Linked DNA regions of Oryctolagus cuniculus. The main gene of each other region encodes a partner of the protein of the gene in region 2 in a complex. Links are inferred from orthologs where the notes say so. Each region holds a gene or a part of one and is shown on either strand. Other genes may lie near its edges. The genes, in order: NSMCE2, EID3, NSMCE1, SMC5 and NSMCE3.

Region 1 (4,379 bases), on a different chromosome or scaffold from region 2:
ACCCACATGAAAGACCTGGATGGAGCTCTTAGGCTCATGACTTTGTCTTGCACCAACCCTACTGTTGCTGTTGCATGCATTTGAGCAGTGAACCAGCTGATGGAAGATATCTGTCTGTTGCTCTCTCACTTGGTCTCCGCCTTTCAAATGAAGTGAATATAAATAATTTTTTAAAAAACCTTTAGGGGCTGGCATCATGACATAGCAGGGTAAGCCACTGCCTGCCATGCCAGCATCCAAAATAGGCATTAGTTCAAGTCTCAGCTGCTTCCCTTCCTAACCAGTTCCTTGCTAATGGTCTGGGAAAAGCAATGGAAGATGTCCCAAATGCTTGGGCCCCTGCTGCCCATAGGGAAGACCTGGATGAAACTCTAGGCTCCTGGCTTCAGCCTGGCCCAGCCCTGGCTGTTGGGGCCATCTGGGGAGTGAACCAGCAGATGGAAGATCTCTCTGTGTCTCTTCCTGTCTCTCCATAACTCTGACTTTCAAATAAATTTTAGGGGAAAAAAATGTTAAGGCTTTTATATGATACTAACTCCTACTGTCTCCTTCAAAAATCGTCTGTCATCTCCTTTTCCCTAAGTGAGGGGAAAGCGCAATTTAATGAAAAGAAGAAGCAGACAGTGCCATGTTCAAAGCCAGCACTACCACTCATCCTCCAGCAGTTCTCAAAACGTGACCAGGGAACCCCTAGAGTTCTCCAAGAGCCTTTTCAGGGCAGCTGTCAAGTCAGAACTGCTCTCATAATAACATGAGGTCATTTGCCTTTTTCATTCTCATTCTTTCCATGGGTGAATTTTCCCAGAAGCTGTAGGACATGTGATATTGTGGCCAATTAAGTGCATGCACAAATATCAAAATCCAACTGTCTTCTGTCAAGCCAAGCATTAAAGGTACTTAGAAAAACTGTGAAGCAGGGCCACTCTTCTCACTTGGGACAAGGGGTGGACAGGATGGTTTCTGGAAAATATGCTAACTTTTAATTCTTACAAAATATCTGTTACCATGTAAAGGGATTTTATTTTTTAAATAAATTAATACATAGTTTTTAATTCTTCAGTTTTAATATCTATCATTGGTAAATATAATTCACATGAAAAAAGTTCTTTGGAGATCCTCATTAATACCCAGAAATATGAAAGGGTTTAAGCCTACGAGCCACACACCACACACATTACCTAATAGCAGGTACCACTTAGCACTTCCTTGTGCCAGGAGCGGTGCAGAAGCACACCACCTTCTGTGTCCCTTCCTCATGTTTGCGGCTAGCTCAGGGTCTCAGAGCAGGACGGGAGGGAGCTAACCAGGTCCCCCAGTTCACACTCTGGATTACCAGACAGTATCTCCAAAAGTTAATTCTCTGTGGCTTTGAAGAGTATTTTTACTGCTCTGAGCCTCAGTTTCCTTAGCAGGAATGGGCAGAATCCTGTGCCTTGCAGAGTTCTCTCGAGAGCAGAACAATTCCGAGGCCTCCAGGGGCCTCGCACAGAGACTCATGCCACGTAGAGCCCACTGTCCTTCCATTCCTTCCGCATCTGTGGGGTGAAGGCAGGCCGAGGAGGCTCACCCGCTCCTCCTTTCCCTCTAGATGGTCTTCAGGCGGACAGAGAGGCCGACGGAACAGAAGGAGTGGACGAAGACATGATCGTGACCCAGAGTCAGACCAACTTCATCTGCCCCATTACGCAGGTACTGGTTCCTCTTTCCACCCCTGTCAGAGAAGCAGTTGGCTTCCCAGGGGCAAAATGGTTCCTGCTGGCTTTCTGGTTTGATTTCACATTTGGAGTTAAGGCGGGAGAAAAGATAAGTGATGCAGACTAAGGCATATACAGGGCAGGCTTTCCTTCCAGCATACCCTGAAGGATCTAGGGAAAAGTTCATGGCCAATGACACTGGTGCCCCGGTTTCCCTGCTTGTCCTTATCTTAAGCCTCATAGTTACCTAAGGCCATGAGAAAGCCCAGGACTAGGGGAAAGAGAGCTACTGGAAATTGATCGTTATCATTCCTGAAAGCCTAATGTCTCCTTGATTGCAGTTGGAAATGAAGAAGCCAGTGAAAAACAAAGTGTGCGGCCACACCTACGAAGAGGAAGCCATTGTTCGCATGATTGAGTCCAAGCACAGGCGGAAGAAAAAGGCCTGGTGAGTTGACGCGGGAGCGGAAGCGGGGCCTCCGCGGTGGGCAGCCAGGGCCGCTGTGCCAGAGGTCAGGCCAGAGGAAGAGACACTCAGTGTCTGCCCGAGATCACATTCGCCTCCCGGACAGTGTAAACATGGAAGCTGACTTTCTGGAAAAACCATTCAGCTGGGAAAGATTAGCAATCTGTTCAGGAAAAGCCGAAGGAACTCCAGCCACACCTTGAAACAGAAGGAAAAAGGTTGGATTGAATTCTAATCATGAGATTATAGGAGTTTTATGAATGTGTGCAATTAAAAACCTAGCCTGAAGAACATAAAGGAGAACTGTAAGACTCAAATGTGCCCTCTCTTTGTATATACACTTCCCCAAACAAGAGGGAATGTAAGTTGTTTTAAGGCTTGTTTTGTTTCGTTTTGCTTTCTGCAATACAGCTAATTTGCTTTAAAAGTATTTTAAGGGGACCGCCGCTGTGGCACAGCAGGTAAAGCTGCCACCAACAATGCCGGCATCCCACATGGGTGCTGGTTTGAGACCCGGCTGCTCCATTTCCGATCCAGCTCTCTGCTATGGCCTGGGAAAGCAGTAAATGATGGCCCAAGTGCTTGGGCCCCTGCACCCACGTGGGAGACTTGGAAGAAGCTCCTTATGCCTGGCTTCAGCCTGGCCCAGCCTCGGCCTTTGGGGCCATCTGGGGAGTGAACCAGCAGATGGAAGATTCTCTCTCTGTGTGTCTCTGTCTCTCTCTCTCTCACTCTGCCTTTCAAATAAATAAAATAAGTTTTGAAAAATTATTTTAAGTAGACACTCTAAGATGACAAGTCACATCCCCTGGCCTTGATGAATCCCATTTTATTATCAGGGGGTACTTGCCACATATTTAATTATTTAACTAACTTCCTAAAAGATTCAAGTAAACTCATGGGTGACTGATCAGTGAGGTTTATTTTAATGGAGGTTCTGAGGAATCTTTCGTGTGTTTATTCCCTCCCCAAGATCTCAAAGGACTGTGGCTCTGATTCTGTATTAACATAGAACTCTGAGTGAGCTAGACTGGCTCCGGCTTGGACTCAGTTCGGCATCTCTTGTGCGCTTATCACAGGTTTGTCTTTGCCGCAGGAATGGAATGGCAGGTGTGACCAGGTCTCAAGAGCTTTTTGATAACAGTCCCTTTGATGTGTGGTTTGTCTCTGTCGCCCAGAAATTCGCTGTTCCAGACCTCGAGTTGGAATTCCCCACCACTCCCTAGAGATTGGATATTTGGAGGCTGTAGGTATCTTAATGGTCATTCAGTCAGGTAATTTACCCTGTTTATTCTAGAAGAATAATGGTTTTGCAGCCTCGTGGTTGCAAACTCTAGCCTACATCATTCGCACGTTTTGATCTGTTTGGAGTTCCCACTTCGTAGTTGAAATGTCTCCTCCCTGCTGAACCTGTCCTCTCCTCTGTGATTATAATTTTCTGTTGTTTCTGGACTTCCAGATCTCTTTTGCAATGAACTTTTTTCTGTGTTCGTTCTCTGAAAAGCCAAAATATTGTTAACATGATTGCTAAAAACAGATATTCCTAGATAGATTTATTTGCTAGCTCTTCTTACTCCAAGTTTGTGACGTCCCCCTGTAGTCAAATAAGGAAAAGGCAGGTACTGTTACAAAGCGCATTCCTCCCCACAAGGACAAGGATATGTGCCAGTGACTCCCAGAATAGACATCCTGCCTAGTTCGATCTCCTTTATTTGTTTTTATTTATTTAAAGAGAGAGTGGAGGCCTGCACTGTGGGCTGTGGCATAGCAGGTAAAGCCGCCACCTGCAGTGCCGGCATCCCATATGGGCACAGTTTGAGACCCAGCTGCTCCACTCCAATCCAGCTCTCTGCTGTGGCCTGGGAAAGCAGCAGAAGCTAGCCCAAGTCCTTGGGCCCCTGCACTCACGTGGGAAACCCAGAAGAAGCTCCTGGCTCCTGGTTTTGTATCAGCCCAGCTCAGGCTGTTGCAGCCATTTAGGGAGTAAACCGGCAGATAGAAGATCTCTCTGCCTCTGCCTCTCTCTAACTCTGCCTTCCAAATGAATGAATGAATGAATGTGCTCTTCCATCCTCTGGTTCACTCCCCCAAATGCCTGCAACAACGGGCTGGGCCATGCCACAGCTAGGAGCCCAGAACTCAATCTGGGTCCTCGGCATGGGTAGCAGGGACTCACGTACTTGAGCTATCAGCGCTGCCTCCCAAGGCACATGAGCAGG
Region 2 (4,374 bases):
TAAGAGCCTATGGGCATGCCCACTGCAAATTCTGAGGTTATTTACTTAGTGACTCAAATATTCGGCAGTCATCTCTAAATATGGTTGCAATTAATATTCTTAAAACAATTTTAAACAAAATGCTTTATAGTTTTATACTAAATGAAGAATTGGATAAACGGTGCAAACAGACCTGAGACAAACATTCAGTTCTAACACGCTGAAACTCTAGACTCTGAAGGACACAGCACACTAGCAGAAATTACAAGGGGAATCCAGGAACTAGGAAGGAAATTAACCAGTAAGACAAAGCCTACAACGCAACATTATAGATTCTGTGGTTGAAGTAGCCTGACAAAAATATTCTCCCCTTCTGAGGATACTAATAGATGAGGTCATCCAATTTGCCAGCTTAGCATTCAAAGAAAACCATTTTCCCAAAAACCTGATGTCCTCTTGCACCCTAAATTCTCACAATTCCACAAGTTTGGCCTCACTTATGCCCCTGCCTGGATTGCCCTTCCTATCTTTTAATTCCTACTCACCCTTCACCTCATAGTTGATGTTTTTTGACAACTACACTAGAGACACTCTACTTCTGCTGAGTCCAATCACAAGGGAAATTAAGAATATAGACATTCATGTATCTTAACTGACTCCTCCACAATGGTATCTCAAGTGTTGTCTTAAAAAAAAAAAAAAAAAGGCGTTTTAATGTTGTATAGTCATTCCCTTATAGGTAGGTGGTTTTACTTGACCACTTTTAATCCATCTTCCCCCAACCTCATTAGGAGCCCCTTATAGGAAATAAAGTTGCAGAACGTAACTTTTTTTTTTTTTTTGGAAACTGTAAAATACTCTTGTGTTTATGAAACTTAGAATCTACTTTTTAAATACAGACTTACACATAGGGCATTAAAAAGAAAAACTTCCCATAAAGGTTATCAATGAAATTTTTTTAATAACCAAAGACCATGACATTGTAAATTATCAAGAAAAATATAGTGCACAGTAAAACTTCTGATGTTCTTAAAACACTTTTTCACTTTGCATGGGATACAATATACATTTCTGTTTAGATTTCACTCTCCATTTTTTGAGATATTTCAGGAAACACAAAATAGTTCCTACACTAGCAACAAAAATCTTTCTAGTACGAGTTTGTGATCATAGCCTCTGAAATTTCAAAAGTTGCCACTATATTCTTCCAGTCCTGTAAACTCAGAGAGATAATTCCTTGTTTCCTGCTATGAAAACTGGGATCATTTTCCTCATCTACTTGGTTAGTACTAATTGGCTCTAATATTGGCAGTCTGTCCTGGTCGAGGCTTATTCTTGCAAAGCCATCCCTTACAATGAAAGAAACATAGAATATGTTCTCCACGGTGCGAGAGAAAGAGTTCGGGTCGATCACAAACTCAAAATAAGACACAGGACTGTCGGGGTACTTCTGAAAGTACGTCTGCAGCAACCCCAGGATTCTCTCCACTTCTTTCTCTGTAGCCTCATGATTACTACTGAGGTCCAGCTTCCTCAACTTTGTGGGCATGTCTCCGCTTCCCTTCAGTCTGCGAACTCTCTTCTGATGTTCAAGTCGAGGCTTTCGTACGGAAGGTTCTGGCTTGAACGAACCAAAGATATAGCGGAAATTCTCCGCTCGCAGCATCCAGCATGCTGCTTCCTTCTGGAGCGTCTCCCAGAAGTGAAGAGCCGCGGTCCCATCACAGCTACTCAGCTCGTGGTGCTCGTCTTCCATCCAGTTTAGGCCCATGAATATGAACAGGAAGTCACAAAACGCTGCTTGGTTAAAAAAGCTCATGTCAAAGTTTAACTGCTTCGCCTTCTCTTTCCCCAAGTCAGAAGCCAAAACGAGGAACTGGGCGTCGAGGGCCGCCTCCCGGGTGCGGCTCACGCCATCGAACAGCACCTTGGCCTCCTCCAGCGCCTCGGTGAGCGAGTTGCTGGCCGTGTTCACGATGTCCTCGCGGTTGTGCTGCACGCTCCGCATCAGCTGCCGGTACTGCTTGCGGATGCTCCGGCATTTCTCCTCATCAGCCTCCAGCCCCAGGAGGATGGGGTCCAGCTGGGCCTCCCCTGAGCTGAGGTCATCAGAGTCCAGGGCCATTTCCACCTTCATCGGTTCTTCCTCCTCCTCCACCGGCTTCACCAAGTACTCGCTTCCGGTGACGGTCACGATCGCCGCCTCCCCTTTCTGTACACCTTCCTTCAGGGTACTTGCTTCGTCAGGCCTGTTGACGACCGGGAGCGCGTAGCGAACTGCCTCCTCAACGATTCCCACACCGTATATACGCCTGAGGTCAGTTACGGCAGCACACGACACCCGCCCATGCGCACTAGCGGCTGCCCCTGCCCGCCGGCGGCTCGCCCCGCCCCTGCCACGCCCCACGCCACGCCGGCCCCGCCCCGTGCCGGCTCCGCCTCCACCTCGCCCCAGGGCTGGGCGGCCCCGCCTCATCCCTCCCCGTGCCAGGACGGCCCCGCCCCGTCCCGCCCCGAGGCAGCTCCAGCGGGATGCAGGACTCTGCGCCTCCGCCTCCGCCCAGCCCCGCTGCCTGGAGCCCGGATCCCTGCATTCGCGCACAGAACGCGCGCCAACAATGCCCCCCCTCAACCCCCCACCAGGAAGTAACAGCCGTTCAGGCAAGGGCTAGTCTCACTTTTGGTGTGTAAAGACCTAGTACACAAACACCTGGGGGCAACCTTAGGACAAAATTTGGGAGAACTAAAGGTCTTGTGATTTGAAACGCTTAGAGCACCTGCACTCACTCCATCACTAAAAGATGTTTAGTTTTTGAGAACTAAATCTGGCTACACTAGACGGACAGAAATAGATACACAGATATATAAACTATGAACTGTCAGGAAGGCCAAGATCAGGAAACGCTGACCTCTTACAGAGAGGCCACATCCAGAGATGCATTGCAAGGTGGCTGTTCAGAACTCATCATACAAACATAAACCCGGTGAATTATATCTGTAGGCCCTCAAAGGCCAAATCCCATCCCACTTACTCCCTCCTGAGGATGGGGAGGGGCGGAGTGGCAGCAGTGTCAGTGCCAGCTGTGTGCACTCGTAAGTCAAGGGATCCCTGGACGAATGGAGTGGGGAGGGGTCTCTGCCAAAAAAAATAAACAAAAGTCTTTATTTGGAAACTTTCCCAAAATGTAAAAGCCACTGACCGAACAGCAAAAGACCAGCAATGCTCTGAAGATTTTTAAGTACAATCTGTTACAAGGACATGAGAATGACATCTGTTAACTGGGTTGACTAACCTGCTTTGGAAAATTCACCCACTAGCCATGGGTGGGTGTCGCTCCCCCTCTTCATGGAGGAACGACACTAAGCCCTGCCTAGGCTTCATATCCGAGTCATGGCACCATTATGTCGCTCCCCGTCTTCGTGGAGGAACGACACAGGACCCTGCGCTGTTCTTTTGTCTGCTCGGCCCTCCCCGGGTTTGCTGCTGGTTCTTCCCGGGTTGGCTACCGACCCTTCCACCTCCGTGGAAGGGCGGTTCCCCCTGCCACTTTCCCCACTTCCGCGGGGGGAACCGCCCTTCCACGGAGGTGGAAGGGTCGGTAGCCAACCCGGGAAGAACCAGCAGCAAACCCGGGGAGGGCCGAGCAGACAAAAGAACAGCGCAGGGTCCTGTGTCGTTCCTCCACGAAGACGGGGAGCGACAGGTGGGTAATGGAAATTCACAAACAGGTAAAGAACCGGCTCAGTTTCAGTCACACAAGTAGCAAATACAGGTAACAATCAGAAGAATAAGTTTATTTCTAAAGACAACCAAAGTCAAAAGTTTTTCATGAGTGTGAAGTGTTTCTTCAAAACTAAAACCACGGGAGACACACATTATAGCCGACAACCACAGGTTTCAGGGCACCAAGAAGAAAACCAACTCTTCTTCTTTTTTTAATTTCCTTTTTTTTTTTTTTTTTGACAGGCAGAGTGGACAGTGAGAGAGAGAGACAGAAAGGTCTTCCTTTGCTGTTGGTTCACCCTCCAATGGCCGCCGCGGCCGGCGCACCGCGCTGATCCGATGGCAGGAGCCAGGTACTTCTCCTAGTCTCCCATGGGGTGCAGGGCCCAAGCACTTGGGCCATCCTCCACTGCACTCCTGGGCCACAGCAGAGAGCTGGCCTGGAAGAGGGGCAACCGGGACAGAATCCAGCGCCCCGACTGGGACTAGAACCCGGTGTGCCGGTGCCGCGGCTCAATAGGCCAGGCGGAGGATTAGCCTAGTGAGCCGCGGCGCTGGCCACCAACCCTTCTTAGTACCTTTCTCTCTCTTCTTCTAGACTGCTTCATGTTTCTTTGGCACTAGCAGAAAGTTCCTTGCAAATGCAAAACTCAGTATAAATTACTCCAAAA
Region 3 (4,379 bases), on a different chromosome or scaffold from region 2:
GTCTGTGGACAGATGGGCTGTTTGTAGCGAGTGGCCGCAGTGGGGTAGGCATGGGGGCAGCGTCTCGGGAGGGGCGCAAGGCAGCACATGGGCCATAGCTCGCTCCATCCCGGTTTTCCGGCAGGGGCTCCAGCCTGCCTTGTCATATTTCCCTCACGATCCTGTCATGTCCGTGCTCACCTGTTTAGTATTAGGAACGATCGATTTACATTGCTGTTGAAAAAACCTTCTATGACTTCCCTTCCCAAGGAAGATGAGACTCTTGCTGTGAACTGCGTGTTAGTGGTTTTAAAAATTATTCATTTCAGGGCCGGCGCCGTGGCTCACTAGGCTAATCCTCCGCCTGCGGCGCCGGCACAGCGGGTTCTAGTCCCGGTCGGGGTGCCGGATTCTGTCCCGGTTGCCCCTCTTCCAGGCCAGCTCTCTGCTGTGGCCCGGGAGTGCAGTGGAGGATGGCCCAAATTCCTTGGGTCCTGCACCCCATGGGAGACCAGGATAAGTACCTGGCTCCTGCCATTGGATCAGCGCAGTGCGCCGGCCACAGCGGCCATTGGAGAGTGAATCAACGGCAAAGGAAGACCTTTCTCTCTGTCTCTCTCTCACTGTCCACTCTGCCTGTCAAAAAAAAAAAAATATTCATTTCAAAGGCAGAGTGACAGAGCAAGAGAATGAAAAGGGAGAGGCCTTCCACCCACCGGTTCACTCCCCCAAATCCCTGCCGCAGCTGGGGCTGGGCCACCCTAAAGCCAGGAGCCATGGCCCCCGTCCTGGTCCCCAGCGTGGTGGCAGGGCCCAGCTGCTCTCGGGCCATCTTCCGCTGCCTTCCCACGAGCCGCGAGGACTTGAAGCAGGCACTTTGACACGGGGTGTGGGTGTCCCAAGTAGTGGCCCCTGCCCATTACTATCCCTGTCGTGGTCCTTGTTACCAGCCTTCGTGGGTCATGTGGTCCTGCCCCTCTGATGGCACTGGGGAGCCTGTGTGGTCCCCATCTGCGTCCCATGACTGTGTGCTCCACTGCTGCCCTGCTACCAGGCCATCTTCCCTCTAAACTCTTCCTCTCTGGTTCCCCATGGAGCTTAGCAGTGCCTTCTTTCTGGAGGAAGTCAAACGCAGGTACAGATACAGCTTAGGGACCTCATGTGACCCTGTTCTCGCAGGGCCTGCCTGGCGACGGCCTTGGTCAGCAGGTTGGCGGGGTAACCACCCGGCCTTTTACTCAGAATTGTTTTGTTGGTTCTGTTAGCATCTTTAACATGAACAGTACGTTGCGTGTTCTTCTTGAAATGGTGCTTTGTTTTTCAGAGGAATTTTCTGAAGTGCAAATCTTTTGAAATTAGTTATTTTAATAAGTGGAGATGTCAACATATACCCTAGGTTTTATTGATTTATTTTTGAAGATTTATTTTACTTTTTTGACAGGCAGAGAGCGAGCGAGAGTGCATACTTCCATCTGCTGGTTCACTCCCCAAGTGGTTGCAGTAGTGGGGGTGGGGCGGGCTGAAACCATCTGGGTTGCCCACGTCGGTGGCACGGGCCCAAATACTTGGGCCATCTGCTGCTGCTTTCCTAGGTTCATTAGCAGGGAGCTGGAAGCAGCCGGGACTCAAACCAGCACTCCAGTAGGGGATGCTGGCGTTGCCAGCAGTGCCCCAAGGCCGGCTCTGTCTAGGTTTAAAATGTAACCCGGGGTGAGTGTGGGATGCCTGCGTCCCATCCCTGAGTGCCTGGGCTGGGTCCCGGCCCAGGGCCAGCCGTGCAAGTGCTCAGTAGCTGTTTGGACGTGGAGTAAAGGGCGGAAGGAATGAAATAGACCCCGACGTGCGAGGACGAGCAGGGACACTGGGGACGATGGCGACCAGGGGTGCCATGGAGCCTGTGGCGGGAGCTCAGGGCAGCTGAGTGAGCGCAGGGGTTGTGAGCATCTCCCAGGCCTCTGCCCCTCGAGGCCCTTGCTTGCGCCTGCCTGCTTCTGTCCTCCCGGAAGAAAAGCCGCATGGGGGCGGGGGCTACCCCGTCCTGCCTGGGCCCGGCGCGGTGTCCAGGTGCCGGGGGCTGATGGAACCAAGCCACCGTCTGCGAGGACGACCCCGTTCTCTTTGCCTCTTTACTTCCAGGCAATGCTCCCATAGACAGGCTGGAGGACTTCATCAACAACATCAACAGCGTCCTGGAGTCATTGTACATCGAGATCAAGAAGGGAGTCACGGAAGATGACGGCAGACCCATCTACGCGCTGGTGAGTGCCAGGTGGCGCCCTCTAGTGGCTCCTGTGGGGAGCTGCAGCCGGTGGCCTGTGCGTCCGGTGGGAGCGCTCCCTGCCTGGCAGAGGCTCTGGGGACAAAGGGGCCGGGCCGCCCTTGCTGTGCTCACAGCCCGCCTGCAGGTCTGTGGGACCCTCTGGGTTAGCAGGCGGGGTGACCAGCACTAGAGCTGGCCCTGGACTCGGTGCCCTCATCACTGGATGCACGGAGCCCCTGCCTAGGCGTGGTGGTGAGGGTTTGCTTCGCTCTGTCCTAGAACGTCCCACATGTGTGGCACGTGAGGCGTTGAGGCAGGACATGGGCTTGCTTTTGGGGTGAGACATAGGAGCTGTGGGAAGAATAGTGTGGGAGCCCTGAGGAGTGAGACTCGTTTGGGGCCTCACCTTTGCAGCCAGGGAGTGGGGAGGTGTGTGAGAGGGGAGACGCTGACCGGCCTTGTCCTTGGCTGGGGACCGCCTGGGGCTCCTCCCAGCCAGGCCGACGCTCAGACGCGGGCCCTGCAGCCCGGACTTTCCCCAGCCCTGCTCCATGGAGCAGACTCATGTGCATTCACAGCCATGGGGGCCCGCTAGAGCAGAGTGCGTTCCCGCCGACTGCTCCCGCCTTTTGCGTTGGCGGCTCTTGTCATGTGCAGACCTGGTCCCCAGCGCTGTGTGAGTTTGGAGCATCCCGCACAGCCTGTGGGGCTGTGCAGTGTCTGGGAGCCAGGCGTGGTGGCTGGGTTCGAGGTGAACGCCCGTGAGCTGCAGCTGTGTCCGCATGGCCGGCGGGGCCTCGGTGCGGGGCTCACCAGCAGGCGAGCGCACCATGATGGCTGTGCTGACTTCTAGGTGAACCTCGCCACCACTCCCATTTCCAAAATGGCCACAGATTTTGCAGAGAATGAACTGGATCTGTTCAGAAAGGCGGTGAGTACTGGGCCCCGTTGCATGTCAGCTGTGGTTCTTGTGGGAAGCTCCTGCCTCCACCATTAGAAATGGAAGTGGGAGGGGCCGGCGCTGTGGCACAGCCGGTTAAGCCTCTGCCTGTGACACCAGCATCCCCATTGAGCTCTGGTTCCAGTCCCAGCTGGAGCAGCTCCCTGCTGATGGCCTGGGAAAGCAGCAGCAGATGGGCCAAGTGCTTGGGCCCCTGCCACACATGTGGGAGACCTGGATGGAGTCCTAGGCTTCTGGCTTTGGTCTGGTAGATATCACACCCCCCCCCCCCCCCGTCTCTCTGCTTTTTAACTAAATACATAGTTGGGTTTTGTTTTTTTTTTTTTTTGACAGGCAGAGTGGACAGTGAGAGAGACAGAGAGAAAGGTCTTCCTTTACCGTTGGTTCACCCTCCAATGGCCGCCGCGGCCAGCGTGCTGCAGCTGGCACACCGCGCTGATCCGATGGCAGGAGCCAGGTGCTTCTCCTGGTCTCCCATGGGGTGCAGGGCCCAAGGACTTGAGCCATCCTCCACTGCACTCCTGGGCCACAGCAGAGAGCTGGCCTGGAAGAGGGGCAACCAGGACAGAATCCGGCACCCCGACTGGGACTAGAACCCGGTGTGCCGGCGCTGCAAGGTGGAGGATTAGCCTAGTGAGCCGCGGCGCCGGCCTACATAGATCTTAAAGAAGAAGAAAGAAGTAGAGACAGTGGAGGGGAATAAAGGCCCCAGCTGCTGCCCAGGAAAGGCCCTGCGGGGAGAGCTCAGCCCCGCCACCTGCTTGCTTGGGAGGCAGCCGCAGCCACCTGGGACAGGAAGCTGGTGCACGTGTGAGCCTGGCTGCAGGCCGGCAGCAGGGCCTCCTGGGAGGAATGAGTGTGACGACCGTGCGGCCCGGGAGCTCGTTACAAAGGCGGGTCCCAGTCTGCACCCCCGCAGTGGGATCTGAGGTCATGGCATTTGAACAGAGCGCCCACTGACTCATCCGTCCGGGCACGTGTGAGAGGGGCCGCTCCGCCAGACTTTGGGGCTGTCAGCACCGCCCTCCTGTCGCACACCTGGCCTGGACGGTGGCGCTCGGTCCCGGTGCGCGTGCTGGTCACCTGTGAGGTTCCAGCATCACCCTGGCTCTGAGCGCCGGGTCCTAGGAGCAGTGCTTTAGAAGCCTCTGCTGGGAGCTCCCGGCAGCCAGGGTTGAG
Region 4 (4,379 bases), on a different chromosome or scaffold from region 2:
GCAGGTATACCACAACACCAGCTCTTGTATTTGTTTCTTTAAAAAAAAAAAAAAGATTTATATATTTACTTGAAAGGCAGTGTTAGAGAAGCAGAGGCAGAGAAAGAGAGGCCTTCCATCCACTGGTTCACTCTCCAAATGGCCGCAATGGCCAGAGCTGTGCTGATCCGAAGCCAGGAGCCAGGAGCTTCCCACGGGTCTCCCACGTGGGTGCAGGAGCCCAAGCACTTGGGCCACCTTCTGCTGCTTTCCCAGGCCACAGCAGAGAGCTGGATCACAAGTGAAGCAGCCAGGACTCAAACCGGCACCCAAAAAGGAGGCCAGCACTGCAGACGTTGGCCCCATGTGTTTGCTCTAATACTATACCTGTCCATTAACTTTCTTCAAGTAATATATTTTTAATTTCATTATGTTCTATTAGATTCTTTTCCAAATTGATCTTTTTGTCATGTATTCCTCTGTTATATTTGCAATCTTCTTTTATTTCCTTAAGCGAATGACAAATACTTAGTTTACTATCTGTTCCTACGAGCTTTGCAGAGCTCATCATGCAGTCTGTTTTTGCTTGATGTTATTTTAGGTAATTCATTTTTCACATGTTTTATGACTTCTTAGGATGGACTCATGAATTTCTTGAAACTTCATGTTAGAATTCATCTGAGGACTAGGTTAAAAGTATTTTCCTTGAAGGGATAGTTATGTTTGCTTCTGCCAGGTACCTTGAAGGTATTACTAACTGAGACCACTTAAAAATTTGGATTTATGATATTTAAGCCACATAGGTAATATGAATTCTGGCCCCCAATGCATGTTAAGGCTTGTGGTTAAGAATTCTCTGGGCCGGCACCCCGGCTCAATAGGCTAATCCTCCACCTACTGGCGCCGGCACACCAGGTTCTAGTTCTGGTCGGGGGGCCAGATTCTGTCCCGGTTGCCCCTCTTCCAGGCCGGCTCTCTGCTGTGGCCCAGGAGTGCAGTGGAGGATGGCCCAAGTCCTTGGGCCCTGCACCCCATGGGAGACCAGGAAAAGCACCTGGCTCCTGCCTTCGTGGTGCACCGGCCACAGCGTGCCGACCATGGTGGCCATTGGAGGGTGAACCAACAGCAAAGGAAGACCTTTCTCTCTCTCTCTCTCTCTCTCTCACTGTCCACTCTGCCTGTTAAAAAAAAAAAAAAAAAAAAAAAAAAAAAAGAATTCTCTGGAAGACTTTTCTCCCCACTGTATTCAGAATGACCAATGAGATAATTAAGTAACCCAACTGCCCCTTTGGTGTTTTTTTCTGCTGCATATACCGCCTGCCTTCTAGATTTTATCTTATAGTACTTCCCTATCTCATCTCAGGTCCCCTACGAGTTGCAAACCATTCAAACGCAGGTTTTTAAATGTCCCTGAGAAAACAACTCAAGTCTGCTATGTCTTTAGATTCTTATTATTTTTTAAAAAGATTTATGACATTATTTCTAGCATTTCAGGTGTTACATACATGAAGAGTTCTCAAGCGATATAGTCCAAAACATTTCTAGAGATGAGACTCTCCTTTCAGCTTCTCTTATCTGCTAAATTCATTCCTTACATTCAAACACTAGAACTTCACTATACTCATAAAACTGAGAAAAATAAACTTGTTTGTTAGTAAAAGGACTGAACAGTTTTAGATTTTCTTTAAAAGTTCTTCAGTTAACTCACCTTATCTGCCCGTCCCATGAAAGCAGGTTTGCCTGCTAATCCAAGGCAAATGGCACACACAATACTCGACTTTCCTGTTCCATTAGCTCCAATAATCATATTTAAGTGGGGTCCAGGAGATACTTCGCAGACATCATATGTTCTGAATTATAAAGAAATGAAATTATTAAGCAGAGATAAGAATATGTTCTTTATAAAAGCACTCTTTCTCACTTTACATCATCATCTACAAGTTTCCCAAATTCCTTTAAAATCCAGCTCACCTTACAAATTCAACATTATCTACAGGTTGCTTACAACTTATAGTTAGAAAGTCACTGGAAGAAATGAGAAAGTGATAATGCATATCTAAAATGCAAACATCAGAGAGAAAATAAGATGCCTTTTTCAAAATCAAGTCTGTTGAAAAAAGCGAGTTTGATGTGATTTATTTTTATTATCACAATTCATGAGACAATATCAAAGTGATCACTACACAAATAAAATAATTTTCAAACAAATTTTCATACAACCAGTTATGTTATGTTATCTTATGTATGTTATCTTAAATCTGTAAATTTTTTTCATTTGTACTTCTCCTGAATTAAAATGCTTAGTGGCTACTTACCATATTTTAATATGTAAAACAATTCAATCAAATTACTCTTATTCCAATGAAGGTATATATCAACAGAATGCTTTTATTTTGTTATTAAGTAAAAACAAAGAAAAACACTGATTTCATGCTGCCAGAAGAGTCACCAAAGAATCTACCTCTGGTTTACAGTGAAACCAATTTTATTCTTATGAGAGAAAAAGATGTATTGTCACCCAGCTTAAAAATGTTCTGCAATGTTCCCTCAGAACATCGAGCTGATGTTGTCTAGCACTCCACCTGCATTCTTATTAGCTGCAAAGGACAGTTCGACAGAACGTGAAGCAAGCTGACTTGGGGCTGAATACCCTGAACCGGAACCCAAAAATAACGCAACGTGCCTGCAGCATTTCTTTTTTTTTTTAATTAATTAATTTATTTGAAAGTCAGAGTTACAGAGAGAAAAGGAAAGGCAGAGACAGAGAGAGGTCTTCCATCTGCTGGTTAACTCCCCGGATGACCCCAATGGCCAGAGCTACGCTGGTCCAAAGCCAGGAGCAAGGTGTTTCTTCCAGGTCTCCCACACGGGTGCAGGGGCCCAAAGACTTGGGCCATCTTCCACTGCTTTCCCAGGCCACAGCAGAGAGCTGGATCAGAAGTAGAGCAGCCAGATGCAAACCAGCACCCGCCAGATGCAAACCAGCACCCATATGGCATGTAAGCACTGCAGGCTGGGGCTTTACCCGCTACACCACAGCGCCAGCCCCGCCTGCAGCATTTCAGTTAGTGCTCAGGTAGCTATCGACTAACTCCCCAAGAACATTTGTTCAGCCTGTTATCAGCTGCTAACCATATAAATTGAACCAACCACACTTCAACTTTAATGCTTCAAAAAATTAATGATTCCAAAATGCCAGATAATACTAAATAAACAGAGGTAAGTAATTAACATAAGGAAAAAGTAGCTTCTACAAGTTTTCCAGTCTCACTCCTAAACACAGCATCTATTCACTTTGTCTTTTCAGATACTTTGTTCTCTTAGCAGCTCAGTCTTAAAAGAATCCTTCATTATGCTTAACACATTCAAAACTAAATCCACCATCTTTTCCATCCCATCCAAAACTTCTATGGCTTCTTGGTGAAGAGAATCAATCACTAACACCATCACTCAAATCAGAAACCCAGGCATTACTTTTGCATCATCCTGATTCTTCCATCTCCTTGCCTCAACCCAGACCAATGCCCCATCACCCAATCAATGACACCACCTCATCATACTAACTCAGTTCGTACACATGCAAATCTATCACTTGTTAAATAAAGAAAAGTTGGGAAAGGAACCCTTGGTAATTTTGCCCTCGTTGCATCTTTTTCTATTTGTTATCTCCTTTCCCTATTCTCGCTCAGATTTCTACATCCTACCAACAATGTACCTCTGTTTTCTGGTCTACTTATTTTTTCTTCAAGCCTTTGCATGCACTGTTTCTTCAGATGAGAAATCTTTTTTTATCCTCAATTTCATTTCACTTGGCTCACTCACAGGAACCTTTCCCTAACTCTACTCTGAATTCTCTGACTACTCTTCCTACTGTCTTGCTAATTCTCTAAGCCTACCCCTCCTCTACTTTACTCCTCAAACTCAGGGTCGCCCAATCAGTAAAAGCAAACAAAATATCCCGAGCTCTGAACTTTTCTTTCTCCTCCTTACAGTCAACTTTTCCTTCCTCACACCTCATTCATTCTTCCACAGCCTTCCAAGTCTTCTGCTTCGCTTTTTTTTTTTAATTTATTTGACAGATAGACAGTGAGAGAGAGAGAGAGAGAAAAGTCTTCTTTCTATTGGTTCACCCCCCAAATGGCCGCTACGGCCGGAGCTACGCCGATCTGAAGCTAGGAGCCAGGTGCTTCCTCCTGGTCTCCCATGTGGGTGCAGGGGCCCAAGCACTTGGGCCATCCTCCACTGCCCTCACGGGCCACAGCAGAGAGCTGGACTGGAAGAGGAGCAACCGGGACTAGAACCCGGTGCTCATATGGGATGCCGGCGCCGCAGGCGGAGGATTAACCAAGTGAGCCACGGTGCCGGCCCCTGCTTCGCTGCTTTATCAAATGGTCAAAAAC
Region 5 (4,033 bases), on a different chromosome or scaffold from region 2:
CAGCTACCAGCGGCTCTTCCAGAAGGTCTACTCCCCTCTTCCTGGAGCCCCCACCTGTCTCCTCTCAAGGGAGCTAATTGGCTAATTGGCAGCTCTGCCCTAGCTCGTGATCACAGAACAAGTCGGAGAACCTGTGGTGTGAGGGGGGCTTAAAAACAAAAACCACACCAGGCAGACTGCCATTTCCCTGCACCAACACAAACCCACCTTTCCCCACAGACGCCCTGCAGTGCCTTCACAGAGAGCATGTCGCTAGAGGTCCCGGAGCAGTGCACTAAGACACTCACTGTGCCAAGGACACAGATGACGTCATCACTCCTCCCCACCTGAGGAGCATAAACCTACCCCACGCGGCCCTGCTGAGGAGGGCAGGAGCTGTGACTGGGCCGAGCTGCTCCCAACCTCTCACCTCGCCTGCTACTGTGCAGAGGACCCTCCCCAGGCCAGGGGACAGCCGCAGGGCCCTTCCTCTCCCGCTCTCCTCGTGGGCTGCACTCGCCGTGCACCAGATGCCTTTCCACAGACCCACACAGCGCAGTCAGGCTAGGACAGAGGCCCGACTTTCCTAGGAGCGGCTGAGAACAGTTAAAAGTCGGCACACACAGGAAGCAGCAGCTCCGGACTAAGAAGAAAAAAAATCTTCTTTCTGAATAACTTTACAAAGGGGCTGTGACAGGAGTCTTAGGTAAACTTCCCTGTTCACGCCGGCATCGGCCACCTCACAGGCTAGGCCCCGTCAGTTCACACACCTGGGCCGTCCGGCAGGCAGGTGGGTCACTGACCGAGACACACATTTCACACCGTGAAGCTACGCAAATACTTTTTTTACATCAACTTCTACAGAACGCTATGAACATTAATATGCAAGAGATTTAAAAACGCGCATGACTAACCACTTTAAAATACAGCATTTATCGTTAACGGCTACGTAGTTAGAGGGAAGAAAAGCCGCCCAATGGAACTGAGCGATGAGCCACACAGCTGAGTAACAATCGTGAGCCCAAAACCCTCTTGGAGGCACAGGAGGCCATCGCTCGGAGTCACGGCCGCGGCCCGGGGCAGGAAGCCTGTGAAATCCGCGTGTTACTCTAACAAGGACAGACGGTTCTAGTCGCACGGTCAACTTTGCAAACAGCTTTATTTTCCTTACAAATGGGGGTAGGAGACGTGAAATCACTTCTCTGCTTTTATATTCTCGGCACCGAGGTCCTGCGCTCACGCGCTTTCTTAAACACCTGTCCCAGGGCACGGCACGCAGCGCTCCGGTTAGTCTTACAAAGCCAGCAAGATTTTATACAAAATAACAACACGACGGCAAAGTCTAAACCGGGGGTGGGGGCAAAAGCCGCCGCTCCCCCAAGCCTGCTTCGAGGCGGCGGCCTGGGAGCAGACAGCAGGGGCCGGGGGAGGCGAGCCCACCCACCCACCCACCCCCGGGCGCCCCTCCCGCCCGCGCCGCGGGCTTCAGCAGGTGGCGGCCGGCCCGCTGGGCTGGGGCTGCGGCCGGGCCCGGCTCTCCTCGTCCGCCAGGGCCTCGCAGTACTGCGCCGGCCAGTCCTTGGGGTCCTGGTTGTGCACTTTGGCCACGAACTTGAGCACCTTCATCTTGCTCGTCTCCAGGCTGGTGCGCGGGCCCCACTGGAACTCGTAGTCCACGGGGTCCGTGTGCGGGATCCGCCGGTACTCCAGGTAGCGCTGCCGCACGAAGTCCTCGGTGAGCAGCTTCTTGGGGTCCCCGAAGACCACGTGCCGCTTGGTGGGGTGCACGCCCAGCCGCCGCAGGAAGTCCCACACCTCCGTCTCCTTCACCGCGTTGCCCTTCATGAAGATGAGCCCCAGCACGATCATCAGCAGGCCCGTGGTGGGCGTGCCCTGGTCGCCCCGCACCGCCGCGTCCTCCTCCACCGGCTCCAGCGTGTTCACCAGGATGTACGCGTTGCTGCGGGGCTCCAGCTCCACCAGCTTGTAGCCGAACACGTACTGCAGCCGCTCGCCGGCCAGCCGCAGCAGGTCCGGCAGGACGTCCTTGTAGTCGCCCAGCACGTGCTTCGCGATGTCCGTGCGCTTGATGGGGATCTTCTTCTGGTCCTTGACCAGCAGGAACTGCACCAGCTCCGCCACCTTCAGCTCCAGCTGCTTCTGAGTCCTGGGCCCCACCGACGGGGCGCTCAGCGCCTCCTGCGAGCCGCCCGGCCCGCGGGACGTGCTCGGCGTCTCCTCGGCGGCGCCGCGGCCCCCGTCCCTGTCGGCCTGGGAACTGGACCGGCCCCGGCTCCGGGCTTTCTGCAACATGGCTCCAGGCAGCGGGGCGGGGGCCGCAGCGGGGCGGGGGCCGCAACGGCCGGAAGCGGCGGGGATTGTGGGTCGGCGCGAGGCGCCAGGGGGCGGGGCCACGCGGCGTGCGTCCCCGTGCGTGCTGCGTCACGGGGGGCGGCGCTGGGCATGCGCAGCCGCGCCTGCGGAAGGGCGGCGCGGTGCTGCTGGTGGGAGTGATGGGTTAATCGGGTTAGAAAGAGACCACCAAACTCCTGCTCTAGGGTGCGGCTAATTTCAGGCCCGCACGGGCGCGGGGCGGTTACGGGCGGTATTAAGAGGTTTAGCATCGGGCGCCTTTGTGGATGGAGTGGCCGAGGCCGCCACGGCGTGGGAGGCTGGAGCGCCCGCTGCGGCGCAGACCGTGGAGGTCGAGACACGCGAGCCGCAGGGCGTCCTTGACCTTGGCGCCCGCCCTCGTGTCCTCCGGGGTGTGCGGGACACGAGGGGCTGGCGGCCACTGCCCGCGGCGGGGGGCCGGGGAACGCGGCGCCCGCGGGCACGGCCCTGGGCCCGCAGCCACGCCCGGGGCAGGACCCGGAGACATTCCCACTTCCTCGGAGGCCTCGCGGATGCGAGCTGCGCTAACGTGCATCTCCTAGACGCCTTCATTGCAAACTCCCCAGCCACTGGGATCCGTAGCAAAGCGCACAGGGGGTCCGCGACGTGTGCAGTTTGCATGCATTTTCAATTGTGCAACGCGTCGTTCCATTAACTCGAGCGATCAGCAATCTGCTGGCGCGCCTACAGATTTTAGCAAGTGTGTTTCTTCTCGACTTGCAAGGAAACTCAATTTCCCCGTCTTTTTTTTTTTAAAGCTACCGGGAAAATGGGTAAACTTCTCTAGGAACTAAATTAAATTGAGTTCCTCTTTAATGCAAATATATTCCGCGGAAAGCAATTCAGAGCCCATTATTTGAATAACAGCACCAAAGCACAGCCTTATTAACATTCCATTGAAGGAGAGTCACATAAAATTTTTGTTTATAATTCAATATGAAAATGCAATCTGATAATGGCACCCACACCACCCCAGTGCTAACCGTGAAGTCTTAATCCACGCTGTGGTGCAGTATGATCAAAATGCTAGCTGGGAGCAGTCGCTCTCCCACACCGAATCCACCGAAGGGGCCCCTCGCGGCAGTCTTAATGAGAGGCTGCCGCGGTTAGAGTGTCCCGCAAAGTTCATGTCCCCTAATAGTGCTGGGGGGTGACGAGGGCTCTGCCAAATGAGCAATGCATTTTCCCCCAAGCGGGTCAGTATGCAGTGACCGGTCCTCTCCTCCTCGTCCTCTCGCCATGGGCTCTCTTCACTTTTACCTTGAACTTGCTCATTTCCAGAATTGTGAGCCAGATAACATTCTGCTGTTTCTAAATGACCCACTCCGAGGTATTGTTACAGCAACACAGAAAGGACTAAGTGGCCTAAGTATCATCCAGGCATTTTTTTTTTTTACAGTAAGAAAATGCACCTGCTTGAGTTTCCTTGTAAATTGAACTTTGTACTTAAGTTCAGAGAAGCCTCCTGCAATCTAGAATTCTGTAAATCCTTCCATGCATTAGAGTCAGTTGTACCCCAGTCAAAAAAAATAATTCAGCAACCAAGAGATAGGGGAGAAATGGAGAGAAAGGAACCTGTGATGGACAGTTGAGTTATGCCAGCCCAGCCGTCAGGCTGCTCTGTGACTTGTGAAAATCAGCTGTATCCAGCAGCTTCCTG

What was found.
Region 1: EID3 (region 2) and NSMCE2 share a complex: the UniProt entries of both Homo sapiens proteins name them as parts of the SMC5-SMC6 complex. The link is inferred for Oryctolagus cuniculus from reciprocal best matches to the Homo sapiens genes EID3 and NSMCE2.
Region 3: EID3 (region 2) and NSMCE1 share a complex: the UniProt entries of both Homo sapiens proteins name them as parts of the SMC5-SMC6 complex. The link is inferred for Oryctolagus cuniculus from reciprocal best matches to the Homo sapiens genes EID3 and NSMCE1.
Region 4: EID3 (region 2) and SMC5 share a complex: the UniProt entries of both Homo sapiens proteins name them as parts of the SMC5-SMC6 complex. The link is inferred for Oryctolagus cuniculus from reciprocal best matches to the Homo sapiens genes EID3 and SMC5.
Region 5: EID3 (region 2) and NSMCE3 share a complex: the UniProt entries of both Homo sapiens proteins name them as parts of the SMC5-SMC6 complex. The link is inferred for Oryctolagus cuniculus from reciprocal best matches to the Homo sapiens genes EID3 and NSMCE3.

Annotation. Positions count from the first base shown.
Region 1 is NC_091437.1:150,978,326-150,982,704, forward strand, and holds part of NSMCE2 (E3 SUMO-protein ligase NSE2), read left to right. Parts: intron 1-1,588; coding exon 1,589-1,689; intron 1,690-2,035; coding exon 2,036-2,142; intron 2,143-4,379. UniProt on the Homo sapiens protein: E3 SUMO-protein ligase component of the SMC5-SMC6 complex, a complex involved in DNA double-strand break repair by homologous recombination. Is not be required for the stability of the complex.
Region 2 is NC_091442.1:107,086,001-107,090,374, reverse strand, and holds EID3 (EP300-interacting inhibitor of differentiation 3), read right to left. Parts: upstream 2,562-4,374; 5' UTR 2,456-2,561; coding exon 1,130-2,455; 3' UTR 801-1,129; downstream 1-800. UniProt on the Homo sapiens protein: Tissue-specific component of the SMC5-SMC6 complex, a complex involved in repair of DNA double-strand breaks by homologous recombination.
Region 3 is NC_091450.1:12,374,503-12,378,881, forward strand, and holds part of NSMCE1 (non-structural maintenance of chromosomes element 1 homolog), read left to right. Parts: intron 1-2,115; coding exon 2,116-2,237; intron 2,238-3,092; coding exon 3,093-3,170; intron 3,171-4,379. UniProt on the Homo sapiens protein: RING-type zinc finger-containing E3 ubiquitin ligase that assembles with melanoma antigen protein (MAGE) to catalyze the direct transfer of ubiquitin from E2 ubiquitin-conjugating enzyme to a specific substrate.
Region 4 is NC_091432.1:160,209,495-160,213,873, forward strand, and holds part of SMC5 (structural maintenance of chromosomes protein 5), read right to left. Parts: intron 1,830-4,379; coding exon 1,688-1,829; intron 1-1,687. UniProt on the Homo sapiens protein: Core component of the SMC5-SMC6 complex, a complex involved in repair of DNA double-strand breaks by homologous recombination.
Region 5 is NC_091443.1:11,537,919-11,541,951, reverse strand, and holds NSMCE3 (non-structural maintenance of chromosomes element 3 homolog), read right to left. Parts: upstream 2,349-4,033; 5' UTR 2,293-2,348; coding exon 1,465-2,292; 3' UTR 1,120-1,464; downstream 1-1,119. UniProt on the Homo sapiens protein: Component of the SMC5-SMC6 complex, a complex involved in repair of DNA double-strand breaks by homologous recombination. The complex may promote sister chromatid homologous recombination by recruiting the SMC1-SMC3 cohesin complex to double-strand breaks.